Linked DNA regions of Stegostoma tigrinum. The protein of the gene in region 1 purifies or fractionates together with the protein of each later gene. This does not show direct contact. Links are inferred from orthologs where the notes say so. Each region holds a gene or a part of one and is shown on either strand. Other genes may lie near its edges.

Evidence for each region.
Region 2: the proteins of cdk7 (region 1) and gtf2h5 purify together in Homo sapiens (affinity purification with mass spectrometry; 7 studies listed by BioGRID and IntAct, with this or other methods). This does not show direct contact. The link is inferred for Stegostoma tigrinum from reciprocal best matches to the Homo sapiens genes CDK7 and GTF2H5.

What each region holds. Positions count from the first base shown.
Region 1 is NC_081356.1:109,484,465-109,491,785, forward strand, and holds the start of cdk7 (cyclin-dependent kinase 7), read right to left. Parts: upstream 3,069-7,321; 5' UTR 3,015-3,068; coding exon 2,949-3,014; intron 1-2,948. UniProt on the Homo sapiens protein: Serine/threonine kinase involved in cell cycle control and in RNA polymerase II-mediated RNA transcription. Cyclin-dependent kinases (CDKs) are activated by the binding to a cyclin and mediate the progression through the cell cycle.
Region 2 is NC_081362.1:31,605,229-31,612,888, reverse strand, and holds the start of gtf2h5 (general transcription factor IIH subunit 5), read right to left. Parts: upstream 3,008-7,660; 5' UTR 2,846-3,007; intron 2,684-2,845; 5' UTR 2,624-2,683; intron 1-2,623. Other genes in the region: protein SERAC1, read right to left, coding at 6,990-7,076. UniProt on the Homo sapiens protein: Component of the general transcription and DNA repair factor IIH (TFIIH) core complex, which is involved in general and transcription-coupled nucleotide excision repair (NER) of damaged DNA and, when complexed to CAK, in RNA transcription by RNA polymerase II.

The DNA.
Region 1 (7,321 bases):
TATACTTAAAAACATTTAAATTGGCAAAATTTCAACAATACCACATCATGTAACGAAGCTGCCCACAAGCCAGTGGGGAAAGCAACACACAGAACCCTTTGATATCTTCAATTTCGTGTCCTTTTTATTGCCCAAGATACACAAGCAACCCTGAGCACACAATTCACTTGATGGTTTGAAAGTGGATTCTAGATCTGAGTTTGAATAGTTGACAGAGTGATTTGGACTCCAGGTTTATCAACACCTCTGATCAATGTCTGGGTCAAGTGCTGGCAAAGTTGGAGAGTTCACAAAGTGTTTGATTTGAAGTTAAGAAGTCTACCTCCCTCTCAGTCTCAAGTACCCCATCCCTTAGTCTGAGACTGGCTCTCTCAATCCAGACCAATGTTCCTGCTAAGCTGCATGGGCAGCTGAATATCCATGTACACTGGTCAGCATGCTGACTCTGTGTTGCTGAACTCACATCTGTTTTCTTCAGCAGCTGCCAAGCATGGACCTTGGAAGTCCACACAGCTTTGAAGAAATTAGGAAGGAAATAAATCTAGACCTTCACAACCATGGAAATACTACTCCTGCATTTATGTGGCATGCCTTATGAGAATTTTGTAGATCTCAATGGGGTCATTACTCATTCTTCTAATCTACAAGCCCAGTCTCCTCAATCTCTCATCACAGCAGGATCTATTCCATCCCAGGAATCAATCTGTGAACCCTTATTGCACACTCTCTATAACAAGTATATCATTCTCTTGGGCAAGACCAAGCTCTACACCATGTGCACTTCACCAAAACATGTACACAGCCTTGATGAGACTGCACAAGTGCAGCAAGACACTCCTTGATGGGTTCTCTAAGTTATATCTTTCTATTTTATTTCTTATACTCAGGTGTAGTTTAGTTTGGGAACATGGTCAGCAGGGACTATTTTCACTGAAGGTCTGTTTACATGCTGTAAGTTGACATATCATTTGGCTTCTTCATTGGTCACTGTACCAGGATATCGGCTTTTGGTGACTAATGAACTAGGGCACCCAGGTCCATTTTGACATCAACTCTTCCCAATCCCTCACCACTTAAGGATTATGCCACATCTGTTTTTCCACCTACCTGATTAATTTCACATCTTGCCATATTGTATTATACCTGCCATGTTCTTACCCATTCATTCAGCGTAAATCCCTTGAGGCATCTGTGCATTCACCTCATAACACTTCCCACCTAGTTTGGTGTCATTTGCAAACTTGGAAAATATATTTGGTCCCCACATCCAAAATCACTGAATATCTGGATCTGTGAGGTAGCCCAAGATGCTAACTTGAAAAGGACCTGTTTATTCCTATCTCTGTTTTGTATCTTTTAGCCAATTCTATGGCAATAGACTACCCCAATCCCAAGTATTTTAATTTTACGCACCTCATGTAGAGGACCTTAATTGAAAGCCTCCTGAAAATCCAAATACACATCCAGAGATCCTGCTTATCTATCCTTTTAGCTACATTCTGAAAAAAAACTCCCGATTGATTTGACAAACACGACAATTTCCCTTTCATTAAACCACGTTGACTGTCAATCAGATCATTATTTTCTCAGTTATATAATAAAACCAAGATGCTGAAAATCTGAAACAAGAACAGAAATTGCTGAAGAAACTCAACAGGTCTGGTAGCATCTGTGGAGGGAAAGCAGAATTAATGTTTTGGTCCATCGACTCTTCATCAGAACCAGGAAGCTATTTTCCTCAGTGTCCAGTTATTACAGACTTAATAGATTTACCTATTACTGATATAAGGCTGAAAAGTTCTGTTTTCACTCTTCTTTCATTCCTAAATAGTGTAGTTACATCTGCAAACTTTAATCTGAAGATGGTCAGAATTCACCATCTCTACAGCCATTTCTCTCAACTCTATGTAGATATGTAGATCAATAGATCCTGAGGATTAATCAACATTCAGGACTACTTTTTAACTTTTGTGCCTCATTCTGCTGGTGTCTTTGTTGTCAAGCACTTCTGGTAGGTTATCCGGGAAGACAGATACAAACAGCTTTATTTAGCTTCTCAGTCATTTCCTTATCTCCCAATATAAATTCCATTTAGCATGCAAATATGATTCTAACTTCAACAGCTGAATGTTAAAATTCATCCTTTTTAGTTTTATTCAACTGCTTAATTTTTCTTTGTAAAACACTGGCTACAAAATAACTTCAATTTACAGCACTTTTCACAACCACCAGGTGTCTCATAGCGCTTTTTAGCCAATGAAGTACTTTTACTATGCTGTAATATATAAGAGGTGGCAGTCAGTTTGTGTTCAGCAAACGGAAATGTGACAAAGACCCGGTAACGTTCTTCCTGATGTTGGGGGAGTAGTAAGTATCGGCTAAGACATTGAGGACAAAAACCTCTTCTTCCTCCAACATGTGCCATGAGATCTTTTACATGCAGCTAAGCAGACAGAACGAGCCTTGGTCTGACATCTCATCCAAAGGACGGTACCTCCAGCACTCGTGATTTTTATTTTCTCAAGTCCTGAAGGAAGACTTGAATCCGGAATCTTGTGATTCAAAGGAGCGAGTGCTATCAAGTCGACATTATAAAATTGAACGAGGTTTGCTTATACTGAGTTCTGAGGAAGAGTCACTCGACCTGAAACGATAACACTGATTTCTCTCCACAGATACCGCTGAGCTTTTCCAGTAATTTCTGCTTTTGTTTCTGATTTACAGCATCGACAGTTCTCAACTGTTTCACTGTTCTCTGGCTATTCTTAAAGCAGGAATGAGTGAAACCGATAATTTTCCGTTCAGAACTGAATAAAGCTTCTCCAGCAACACGATGTTAGAAGTTTTGGGAAGTAATAATCAGCCTCCGCCGCCATAACAAAAGCAACGAGCGCAAATACTGAGCCCTGCCAACAGCGGGTGCTTTGGTCTTTAGGGGTAAACCTTACCTGCCCCTCGCCCAGGAAGTCGAGCTTCTCGTAACGCTTGGCCCTGGAGCGGACATCCACCGCCATCTCTCATAGGAGCAGCAGAAACTTCGCACCATAACTTCCGGTGCCGGCCTTACCTCACTTCCGCGGTCTGGCGACCGAGGCCAACGTTGTTGCTCAGCAACCACAGCCAAGCCACCATCGATTCACCGGTCTAAATGGTGAAGGTAACCTCCTCTTGATAACCGGGATATTCTCCATAAACTCCACGGGAGAGACCCATCAAAACTGCACATCACTGAGAGAAGATAGTGGTGTACCGGCTGTGTCACGTAGACTGGTAATCCAGAGGCCTGAGGACATGAGCATCCATAAAGATGCCTGGATGGTTCTTTATTTAAGGTTATGGAGATTAAAAACTCATGTTAGAATTGGATTCCGGGAGACCAACGTTGGGGTCAGCACTCTAGGAGGGTGAAAACGTGTACTTATTTTTGGGAACATTAAACAAGATGTGTCAAATAGGCTTGCCAACCTCTACTTATATTTGTGCAACATTTTGTTTGGACCTCCAACTTCATAACTTCAAAAAACTGGTGTTTTGATTTTTTTGACCAAAACTAACACGAGTTACAAGATTCAAAACCAAATGAAGTCGCAAAGGTTTACTCAATCATGTCCTGTTCAGATTGTTATGTACGTTTATTCAGTCTCTGAGCAGCAGGACTAGGATTAAGATGTGTATGTTATAGTCAAGCAGTTAGTTTTATCTACGTGTAGCATCATATCTAAATAAAGATAGAGTTGTCAGAAGCGAGACATTACGCTGAATCTTCCCATGGTGCACCTACCACTGTTGAACATGAAATCAATTAATTTAGCAGAAATCAGGGACCAAATCTGATCTGTGCAGCAGAGCTGCACAGAACCAGCCATTTATTGTAGAACTTACAAGAGAACAATTTATTTTAAAAAATGCTTTAGCAAATAAAAATCCTTCACACTGCTTCTTGTATATTGCTCTCAAGCAGCCTTCTCTGAACTCAATTTTGGTTTTATTAGTTGAATTCTTGCTTTTATGTTAAGTAACCAAGCAGCATGATGAGTGTTAACTGATAAATTGCAACACATCCTCTTGGATCTTACGTGATAATGGGAACTGCAGATGCTGGAGAATCCAGGATAACAAAGTGTGAAGCTGGATGAACACAGCAGGCCAAGCAGCACCTCAGGAGCACAAAAGCTGCCATTTCAGGCTGAGACCCTTCATCAGAGAGGGGGATGGGGAGAGGGAATGGGAATAAATAGGGAGAGAGAGGGAGGCGGACCGAAGATGGAGAGAAAAGAAGATAGGTCGAGAGGAGAGTATAGGTGAGGAGGTAGGGAGGGGGTAGGTCAGTCCAGGGAAGACGGACAGGTCAAGGAGGCAGGATGAGGTGGTAGGTAGGAAATGGAGGTGTGGCTTGAGGTGGGAGGAAGGGATGGGTGAGAGGAGGAACAGGTTAGGGAAGTGGAGACAGGCTGGGGGTTAAAATAGTATCAGAGATAATGGGAACTGCAGATGCTGGAGATTCCAAGATAATAAAATGTGAGGCTGGATGAACACAGCAGGCCAAGCAGCATCTCAGGAGCACAAAAGCTGACGTTTCGGGCCTAGACCCTTCATCAGAGAGCTCTCTGATGAAGGGTCTAGGCCCGAAACGTCAGCTTTTGTGCTCCTGAGATGCTGCTTGGCCTGCTGTGTTCATCCAGCCTCACATTTTATTATCTTGGAGACAGGCTGGGCTGGTTTTGGGATGCAGTGGGGGGGAGGCGACAAGCTGAGCTGGTTTTGGGATGCAGTGGGGGGGAGGCGACAAGCTGGGCTGGTTTTGGGATGCAGTGGGGGAAGGGGAGATTTTGAAGCTTGTGAAGTCCACATTGATACCATTGGGCTGCAGGGTTCCCAAGCGGAATATGAGTTGCTGTTCTTGCAATGTTCAGGTGGCATCATCGTGGCACTGCAGGAGGTCCATGATGGACATGTCATCTGAGGAATGGGAGGGGGAGTTAAAATGGTTCGCGACTGGGAGGTGCAGTTGTTTGTTGCGAACCGAGCAGAGGTGTTCTGCAAAGCGGTCCCCAAGCGGGTTTCCCCAATGTAGAGGAAGCCACACCGGGTACAATGGATACAATATACCACATTGGCAGATGCACAGGTCAACATCTGCTTGATATGGAAGGTCATCTTGGGGCCTGGGATGGGGGTGAGGGAGGAGGTGTGGGGGCAAGTGTAGCACTTCCTGCGGTTGCAGGGGAAGGTGCCGGGTGTGGTGGGGTTGGAGGGGAGTGTGGAGCGGACAAGGGAGTCACAGTGAGAGTGGTCTCTCCGGAAGGCAGACAAGGGTGGGGATGGAAAAATGTCTTGGGTGGTGGGGTCGGATTGTAGATGGCGGAAGTGTCGGAGGATGATACGTTCTATCCGGAGGTTGGTGGGGTGGTATGTGAGAACGAGGGGGATCCTCTGGGGGTGGTTGTGGCGGGGTGTGAGGGATGTGTTGCGGGAAATACAGTCAAGGGCGTTCTCGACCAATGCGGGGGGAAGCCGCTCACCCCACTCCTCCCACCACCGACGGAACCCTGCCCACAGCCGACGACCACATCGCTCCGCCCATAACCTCCACAGCCAGCAACCCCAGAGAAGACAGCCACACTGAGCCCTGCCGCATCTTCACCATCCCGCCAGACCTCCCACTGACTTTGGACGAACGGTCAGTCCTAAGCAAGGGGCTCACGTTTGTCCCCCTCCACCCACACATCAATGAATACCAGTCACATTTGGACATCGAGCAGTTTTTCTGCCGCCTTCGCCTCCACGCTTACTTCTTTAACTAGGAGCCCAACCCTCCCTCCACTGACCCCTTCACTCGCCTAGCCAAACTCGTCCTCACCCTCAACAACTTCTCTTTCGACTCCTCCCACTTCCTACAGACAAAGGGGGTGGCCATGGGTACCCGCATGGGCCCAAGCTATGCCTGCCTCTTTGTAGGTTACATGGAACAGTCCCTCTTCCGCACCTACACAGGCCCCAAACCCCACCTCTTGCTCAGTTACATTGATGACTGTATCGGCACCGCCTCATGCTCCCCAGAGGAGCTCAAACAGTTCATCCACTTCACCAACACCTTCCACTCCAACCTCAAGTTCACCTGGGCCATCTCCAACACATCCCTCACCTTCCTCGACCTCTCAGTCTCCATCTCAGGTAACCAGCTAGAAACTGATGTCCATTTCAATCCCACTGACTCCCACAGCTACCTAGAATACACCTCCTCCCACCCACCCTCCTGCAAAAATTCCATCCCCTATTCCCAATTCCTCTGCCTCTGCCACATCTGCTCCCAGGATGAGGCATTCCAATCCCGCACATCCCAGATGTCCACGTTCTTCTAGGACCGCAACTTTCCCCCCGCAGTGGTCGAGAACACCCTGGGCCGCATCTCCCGCATTTCCCGCAACACATCCCTCACACTCCACCCCCGCCCCCAGAGGACCCCCACTCGTTCTCACATATCACCCCACCAACCTCCGGATACAAAGTATCATCTTCCGCCATCTACAATCCGACCCCACCACCCAAGACATTTTTCCATCCCCACCCTTGTCTGCCTTCTGGAGAGGCCACTCTCACCGCGACTCCCTTGTCCGCTACACACTCCCCTCCAACCCCACCACACCCGGCACCTTCCCCTGCAACCGCAGGAAGTGCTATACTTGCCCCCACACCTCCTCCCTCACCCCTATCCCAGGCCCCAAGATGACCTTCCATATCAAGCAGATGTTGACCTGCACATCTGCCAATGTGGTATATTGTATCCATTGTATCCGGTGTGGCTTCCTCTACATTGGGGAAACCAAGCGGAGGCTTGGGGTCTGCTTTTAGAACACCTCCACTTGGTTTGCAACAAACAACTGCACCTCCCAGCCACAAACCATTTTAACTCTCCCTCCCATTCCTTAGACGACATGTCCATCATGGGCCTCCTGCAGTGCCACAATGATGCCACCTGAAGGTTGCAAGAACAGCAACTCATATTCCGCTTGGGAACCCTGCAGCCCAATGGTATCAATGTGGACTTCACAAGCTTCAAAATCTCCCCTTCCCCCACTGCATCCCAAAACCAGCCCAGTTCTTCCCCTCCCCCCACTGCATCCCAAAACCAGCCCAGCCTGTCTCCGCTTCCCTAACCTGTTCTTCCTATCTCCCATCCCTTCCTCCCACCTCAAGCCACACCTCCATTTCCTACCTACCACCTCATCCCGCGTCCTTGCCCTGTCCGTCTTCCCTGGACTGACCTATCCCCTCCCTACCTCCTCACCTATATTCTCCTCTCCACCTATCTTCTTTTCTC
Region 2 (7,660 bases), on another chromosome or scaffold:
AATCATACCTAATGCCTCAGAAATCTAAAATCTTCCCTCCTGCACCATCTCTCCTATTTCTAAACATACTGCCATGCAGCCCTGGGAGTAGTCCCCAAATTACTACCCTTGAGGCCCTGTTTTTGAATTTAACTCCTAGCTCCTTACATTCTGCTTATCATACACCCTTTTAACTTGTGTTCGTAGACATGGACATGAACCATACTCTCTGGTTGTTCATTTTACCCCTTCGGAATATCCTAGAACCACTCAGTGACATCCTTTACCACACACCGGCTACAGAAACATCTGCTTCCCTCATGACAGAATTTTGTATCACTATTCTCTCTTCTCTCCTCTTCTTTACTCCCCCAACAGCTCTGCATAGCGCAGCCACTTGTGTGCTACAGACTTTGCAGACTGAATGAACATGAGCACATACAGCACCTTTTTCAACGCAATTAAACAGGCAACAGCTATTCTCTCCTTCATTTCCCAGTCGAATCAGAGTCAGCCTGCCTGGTTTAAATAAATTACACAAAACCGGAGTTACCTGTCAATCACCACCTAACTGGTGTATTCCCCATGGCAACACCTGTACCAATCAGCACACTTCTCATACAATAAAGTAGTTGCTCCCTTACAAATTAATATTTCTTGCAAGCTATCTTAATGTGTGCAAGACAAAGTTTTTCAGAAAAGCTCAAGTCCTGTACTACTGAACTTTAAATTAAAACACCTCTACTACAATTCTCAATGTTATCAGGGACAATTCCACTGCTGTCAGTACGTGAATCTCATATCTGAATTTAGGCACCTTGAACTGTTTTCTTTTCTTGTCCAGATTCAATTTCATCTGGTGAACTCTCCAGCACTGAGAAGAATGTGGTGTGCAACGGCCTCTGTCATTTCAACACATCAACAGACCAGCAGATAACGCCAATCACTTCCACTCTAGAAAAGTCAACAGCTGTCTCATTGTGTGGCGATGATCTTCTGAAGAAGCTGAAATTCCAAATTGCAGGTACTTCTCAAACATCACAAGAGTTTCTGAATTCATCCAACTTCACTTGCTAGTATCCACCACAAGGAGAATAGTAAAGATCTTTGCCTTCACAAATTATGACGAAATATCTTCAATGGTTAGCAGGCAGTAGTAAGATCTCTTCAAGGTTTTATTGAAGTCCTTCCAGGTTATTTCACTGCTATCACTTTGCAAGTCAATCTGTCTGAGTTGCCTCGTCCTTGATTCATTACTCCTTTTTCAACTTCTCTTGATTTTCAGGTGGACTTGAGAGCAGCCAGATCTCTCCAGATGCTGAGCTGGTCTCGCCTGTTCATCTATTTCAAATTATTTACCAGGGTGACAAAGACCTGTCGAAACATTTTCCTTTAGGATCTGGTCAGTGAAACCAAGGTTACCAAACCATGCTTAAAAACTTTTTCAGCTGGTATGAGTGGATATTGTTTGGATATTGAGTGGAGTACCGTCCCATCAAATAGTCTCAACTTGGCCTTCGATGGCTTCATTTTGCCTTCTTGATACAACGGTAATGTTCTTGCCTTTGAGCCAGGCAGCCTAGATTTAAGGCCCACCTATTCCAGAGGTGTCTAATATCTATTAACAGGTTGATTAGAAAACATATACATAACACCAGTGTCTTTCTGGCACTTAACTTGATGCTCTACTTCTGCAGTCATCATTCCAATAGTCGCACTTAAATTTACTATCAAGTGAACTGAGGGACAAAAGGACTTTGGTGTTCAAGTCCGTAAAGGTGTCAGCACAGCTGGACACGGTGATGAAGAAAGCATTCATGATGTTTGCCTTCATTAGCTGGGGCATAGAATATAGTAGCAAGGAAGTCTTGCTACAACTTTGTTATGCCGCAAACAGAATACCATGTTGTTTGCTACACAATGGGGCAGATGTGATTGCAGTAGAGTGGGTACAGAGGAGATTCATCAGGATGTTGCCTCGGATGAAAAGTCTCAGTTGTAAGGGAAGACTGGGTTTCGTTTTCTTGGAGCAGAGAAGATATCTGATTGAGGTATACAAAATTATAAGAAGCACAGGCAGACAAGATATATAGAATCTTAAGAATCTTTTCCCTGCAGCATACATGTCTAAGACCAGAACGCTTAAAATTAAAGGTGAGGAACAAGTTGTTTAGAAGAGATCGGAAGAAAAACATTTTCACCCAGAGGGTTGTAGAAATAAGGAACGCGGTGTCTGAGGGGGCAGCAGAAGCAGATACTCTTGCAACACCTAAGAAGCATGTGGCACTTAAAATGCCAGGGCACAGTAGTGCACTAAATACAGGTAAACAGGATTACTGTGGTTTGGTAAAAACCGAAAGAACTGCAGATGCTGTAAATCAGTGACAAAAACAGAAGTTGCTGGAAAATCTCAACAGGCCTGGCAGCATCTGTGAAGGAAAAAAAATCAGGGTTAACGTTCCGGGTCCAGTGACTCTTCCTCTGAGGAAGGAACTTCGAGCAATCTCTTATCTCTAGCAACTTCTGTTAGTACAGTTTGATGTTTGTTAGTCAGCACAAACATGGTGGACCGAAAGGCCTGTTTCTGTGCTGCGTGACTAATTCTTGTCATCCAAGTAAGATGAAGTGGAAAAGTGCTAATTACCGTAGATCAGGCCAGATCCGTGATGGGCGCCTTCACGCCCCCCGAGAAAAAAACTCAAACCTACCATACAATATAAAAGAAACATCAGTTGGAGGCGGGACATTTCTCGAGACAGCACACCATTATTAACATGGTCAAGTAAGGATTAGCATTACGAAAACACATATGCATAAGTTTTACAATTTAAAAGGTGGGGGGGGAGAAAAGATTCAATACTCAAACCTGATCTCTACGGAACAACCATTTCTTCTCTCGCAGCGCTAAGCGATCTGGGATAACACACGCAATTCAAACATGACCAATCAGTTAACGGCACCTCGAACAAAATGACACCACATTGGGTCAGAGTTGCACCGAAATGATTAGAGGGGTTATATAGCGTTTCAGTTCGGAGTCGGAGTCGTTTAAGTCCCAGCCTCCTTGTGGAAATGTGTTTATTTTTTGTCCGCAAATTTCCCTCCAAACGGTTTGTTATATTATCTCAAATTGAATTGTCTTGTCATACGTACACGTCTGGTATGCTGTATCACGCATGACTGATTTGGTCAGTGTGCCAAAGTAACAGGATATCTTTCCACAGTACGTGGGCAGCTGGAAAAGTACATTCAATGTTTGTTTCTAAAAGTGTGATTAGGGAACCTCAAGCCACTGTTTCAGTGGCCTCCCCTTTCTGTGCTACACATCGACTCCAGGGTTGATGGTTAAAATTCACCCAAATATGCACCAAGGAGAGTTGGAGGCATGACAGTTAGTGCAAGCAATGAGTTAGTATTCTGATAAAGGATTCTCATATTCCACTGAAGGACATGTCAGCTAAGACGTTTCGCAAAACATGGAACCTGTGAAGTCAGCAAAGTTGGCTTGATATGTGATTAATAACCGAGAGACAGATCAAGTATACTCCAAGATAGATTAATTGTATAAAGATAAAATTGTTCTCCCTGACATTTACAGTTAAGGATAGTCGGAAGTTCTGGGTAATTGTCCCAATTTTTAAGGATTGTCCTGCTGCTGTTACTTCTAGTCACCCTACTACTGCTCAACCAGATTTATGAGTACAGTGCAACTCTGACTCAGACTAATACAGTGTTACTGTGCCTCTGATATGAATCAATCCAATGTAGATCTGAGCATCTTCCTGAGAAGAGAATGGTAGATACTGTGGATTAGATTGGAGAGAAAAGTCATTTTTAGTCCCAGACCAGAAGCGTTGGGATAAAAACCTTGACAAGGTTACTTAAAATAAGTCCAGTGAAACGCAGGTATGAAAATAGCTACATCTTATTCCAGAAAAATTGAAGTCATATGTGACTTAAATCTGGTACAGGGACTGTAGTGTGAGTATTATGTGAAGCATGTTTGGGACCTGTAGCAGTGGTGTGTTTGGTATTACACAGTAGTTGTTTCATTTCTTTTCAATTTATAAAATAATATGTTGGGACTTATTGGGTTATACTTTTACTGGGTATTTAAAATATTTGAATTTGCTATATATTTTATTGTTAAAGGATCACAACAAATAAAAATATGATCTCAGCTAGGGTCCTGACTGAGATCTGACTTGTCCAATAATAAAATCAACTAGGATCATAACTGAAGGAAGAGACCAATTTGGTGAAGTTACAATCACCAGGGAAGTAGTAATGAACAAACTGATGGAGCTGCAGGCTGACAAATTCATAAATTCACAGCACTGTTACATAGAAAAGTACAGCACAGTACAGGCCCTTCGGCCCACGATGTTGTGCCGTGGAATAATCCTAATCCAAAAACAAAATAACCTTACCTACATTCCCTTCAATTCACTGCTGTCCATGTGCATGTCCAGCAGTCGCTTAAATGTCACTAATGACTCCGCTTCCACGACTACCACTGGCAAACTATTCCATGCGCTCACAACTCTCTGGGTGAAGAACCTCCCTCTGACGTCTCCTCTATACCTTCCTCCTAACACCTTAAAACTATGAACCCTCATGGCAGTCAATCCTGCCCTGGGGAAAAGTCTCTGGCTATCGACTCTATCCATGCCTCTCATTACCTTGTACACCTCGATCAGGTCGCCTCTCTTCCTCCTTCTCTCCAGAGAGAAAAGTCCGAGCTCAGTCAACCTCTCCTCGTAAGACAAGCCCTCCAGTCCAGGCAGCATCCTGGTAAACCTCCTTTGCACCCTCTCCAAAGCCTCCACATCTTTCCTATAATAGGGCAACCAGAACTGGACACAATATTCGAAGTGTGGTCTCACCAGGGTTTTGTAGAGCTGCAGCATAACCTCACGGCTCTTAAACCCGATCCCCCTGTTAATGAAAGCCAAAACACCATATGCTTTCTTAACAACCTTATCCACCTGGGTGGCAACTTTGAGGGAACTATGCACTTGAACACCAAGATCTCGCTGTTCCTCCACACTGCCGAGAATCCTGCCTTTAATCCTGTATTCAGCATTTAAGTTCGACCTTCCAAAGTGCATCACTTCGCATTTATCCAGGTTGAACTCCATCTGCCATTTCTCAGCCCAGCTCTGCATTCTGTCAATGTCCTGCTGATGCCTGCAATCGCCGGCATACTATCAATGGCACCTCCAACCTTTGTGTCATCAGCAAACATACTAACCCACCCCACAACCTCTTCATCCAAGTCATTTATAAAAACTACAAAGAGCAGAGGCCCAAGAACAGAGCCCTGCGGGACACCACTCAGCAGTGACCTCCAGGCAGAATACTTACCATCTACAACCACTCTCTGCCTCCTGTCAGCCAACCAATTCTGAATCCAGACAGCCAAATCACCCTGTATCCCATACCTCCTGACTTTATGCATGAGCCTGCCGTGGGGAACTTTATCAAATGCCTTGCTGAAGTCCATGTACACCACATCCATTGCTCGACCCTCATCAACCTGTCTCGTGACTTCCTCAAAGAACTCAATAATATTGGTAAGGCATGACCTTCCCCTCACAAAACCATGCTGACTCCGTTTAATCACGCTATGCTTTTCCAAATAGTCATAAATCCTATCCCTCAGAATTCTTTCCAAAACCTTGCTGACCATAGACATAAGACTGACTGGTCTGTATTTTCCAGGGATTTCCCTATTCCCTTTCTTGAAAAGAGGAACAACATTTGCCTCCCTCCAATCTTCCGGTGTGACTCCCGTGGAGAGTGAGGAAGCAAAGGTCTTTGCCAGCGGCTTAGCAACCTCCTTTCTCGCTTCCCGGAGCAACCTAGGATAAATACGGAAGCCATTCAGCCCCATCATGCCTGTGCCAGTTCAATTAAATCACTTTAAATCTATGCCCACTCATTTTTTTTTACTTTTTTTCAGAAGGAACAGCTTCTCCCCACTGATCATGATTTTGCAAACCTCTATCAAATCTTCTCCCGCCTTATCTTTCCAACGAGAACAGTCCCAACCTCTTCACCCTATCCTCAGAACTGAAATATCTCATTCTTTGAACCATCCATGGGGTGACACAGTGACTCAGTGGTTAGCACTGCTGCCTCACAGTGCCAGGGACTCAGGTTTGATTCCACCCTTGGCAACTACCTGTGTGGAGTTTGCATATTCTCCCTGTGTCTGTGTGGGCTTCCTCCAAGTGCTCTGGTTTCCTCCCACAGTCCAAAAATGTGCCGACTGGGTGGACTGGCCATGCTAAATTGCCCATAGTGTGCATGGAAGTGTAGATTAGGTGGGTTATTGGGGGATGAGTCGGGTAAGATGCTCCAAGGGTCGGTGTGGACTTGTTGGGCTGAAGGGCCTGTTTCCATACTGTAGGGATTCTATGATCATTCATATAAATCATTTTTGCACTCTCTCCAATGCAATCACACTATTCCTGTAATGTGCCCACAAACATATACAATACACCAGCTGATGTTTAACAAGTGTTTTGCACAAGTTCAACATCATCTCCCTGCTCTTGTACTCTATGCCCTTATTAATAAAGCCAAGAACAAAGTTCCCAGGTCCTGATGTATTTCATCCGAGGGCATTGTTGAGGTAGAGGTCAATGATCATACATTGATCCAGTGCTGGGACGGTCTGCCCAAGGAAAGATTCCAAGATAGCATTCTAACTCAATGAGGATTAATTAGATATTCATACATTGTAAGTCACATAGATAGTACTTGAATTCCAAGATGATCTGCTTTAGACAAAGACCTTGTTTATCATACATTCCTAAAGTGCCAAGGTGCCTGTTACACTTGGTCTTACCACTCATATCTTCCCAGATGTCATTGTATCTCCTCTCTGAAGGCTACGCTTTATTCCCATCCTTGACTCGACTCCATTACTTTGTTTTTCTCACTGTAGTATGGGGTCATCTTCTCATTACACTTCCAAATAAGACCTCAGGGTTAATGCTGGTTCAGCCACAGTACATTTTCACAGAAACTCTGTCTGCTACATCAGCATCTGATCGTATTTCTGCAGTTCCTTTTAACCTGATTACTTCCTTGAATAAGAATAAATAAAACAGAATCATAAATGATTTATATTACTGAGGTAGTAGGATTTGTATTACTGTAGCTTATGAAGTTATCTAAAACTCTCTAACTCATTCTAATCCCAGTTGGAACTTCATGTAGATAACAGGTTAACTCGTCATACCCAAATTTCCCCCTAACAGCATTAAAATAGGTGGTTAATGAGGTAGTAGATTCATTTGTGTTAATTTTCCAAAATTTGCTACAGTTCAGAATATTGCCATCAGACTGGAAAGTGGAAAATCTAACTCCAATATTCAAGAAGGTAGGGATGTAGAAAACAGAAAACTATGGGCCAGTTGCCTTGACATCTGTGATGACGAAGCTTAGAAACAGAAAGCCAGTTAGGAGAGCGGGTGTTGACTGAGTGAGTCGTAGGTCTAAAGGGAGTTACTCAGAAAGTGTGAGAAGGGAGAAAATTTGGAAGGTGGGCATGGTGAGTGAGTGAGATGTGGGGCCTGGAAGAGGTTCATGAAAGGTGAGCAGGGGACAGTGATTGGGAAAAGGTGTATACAAACAAATGAGCAAAAATAGGTATAAATCATGGGCCAAA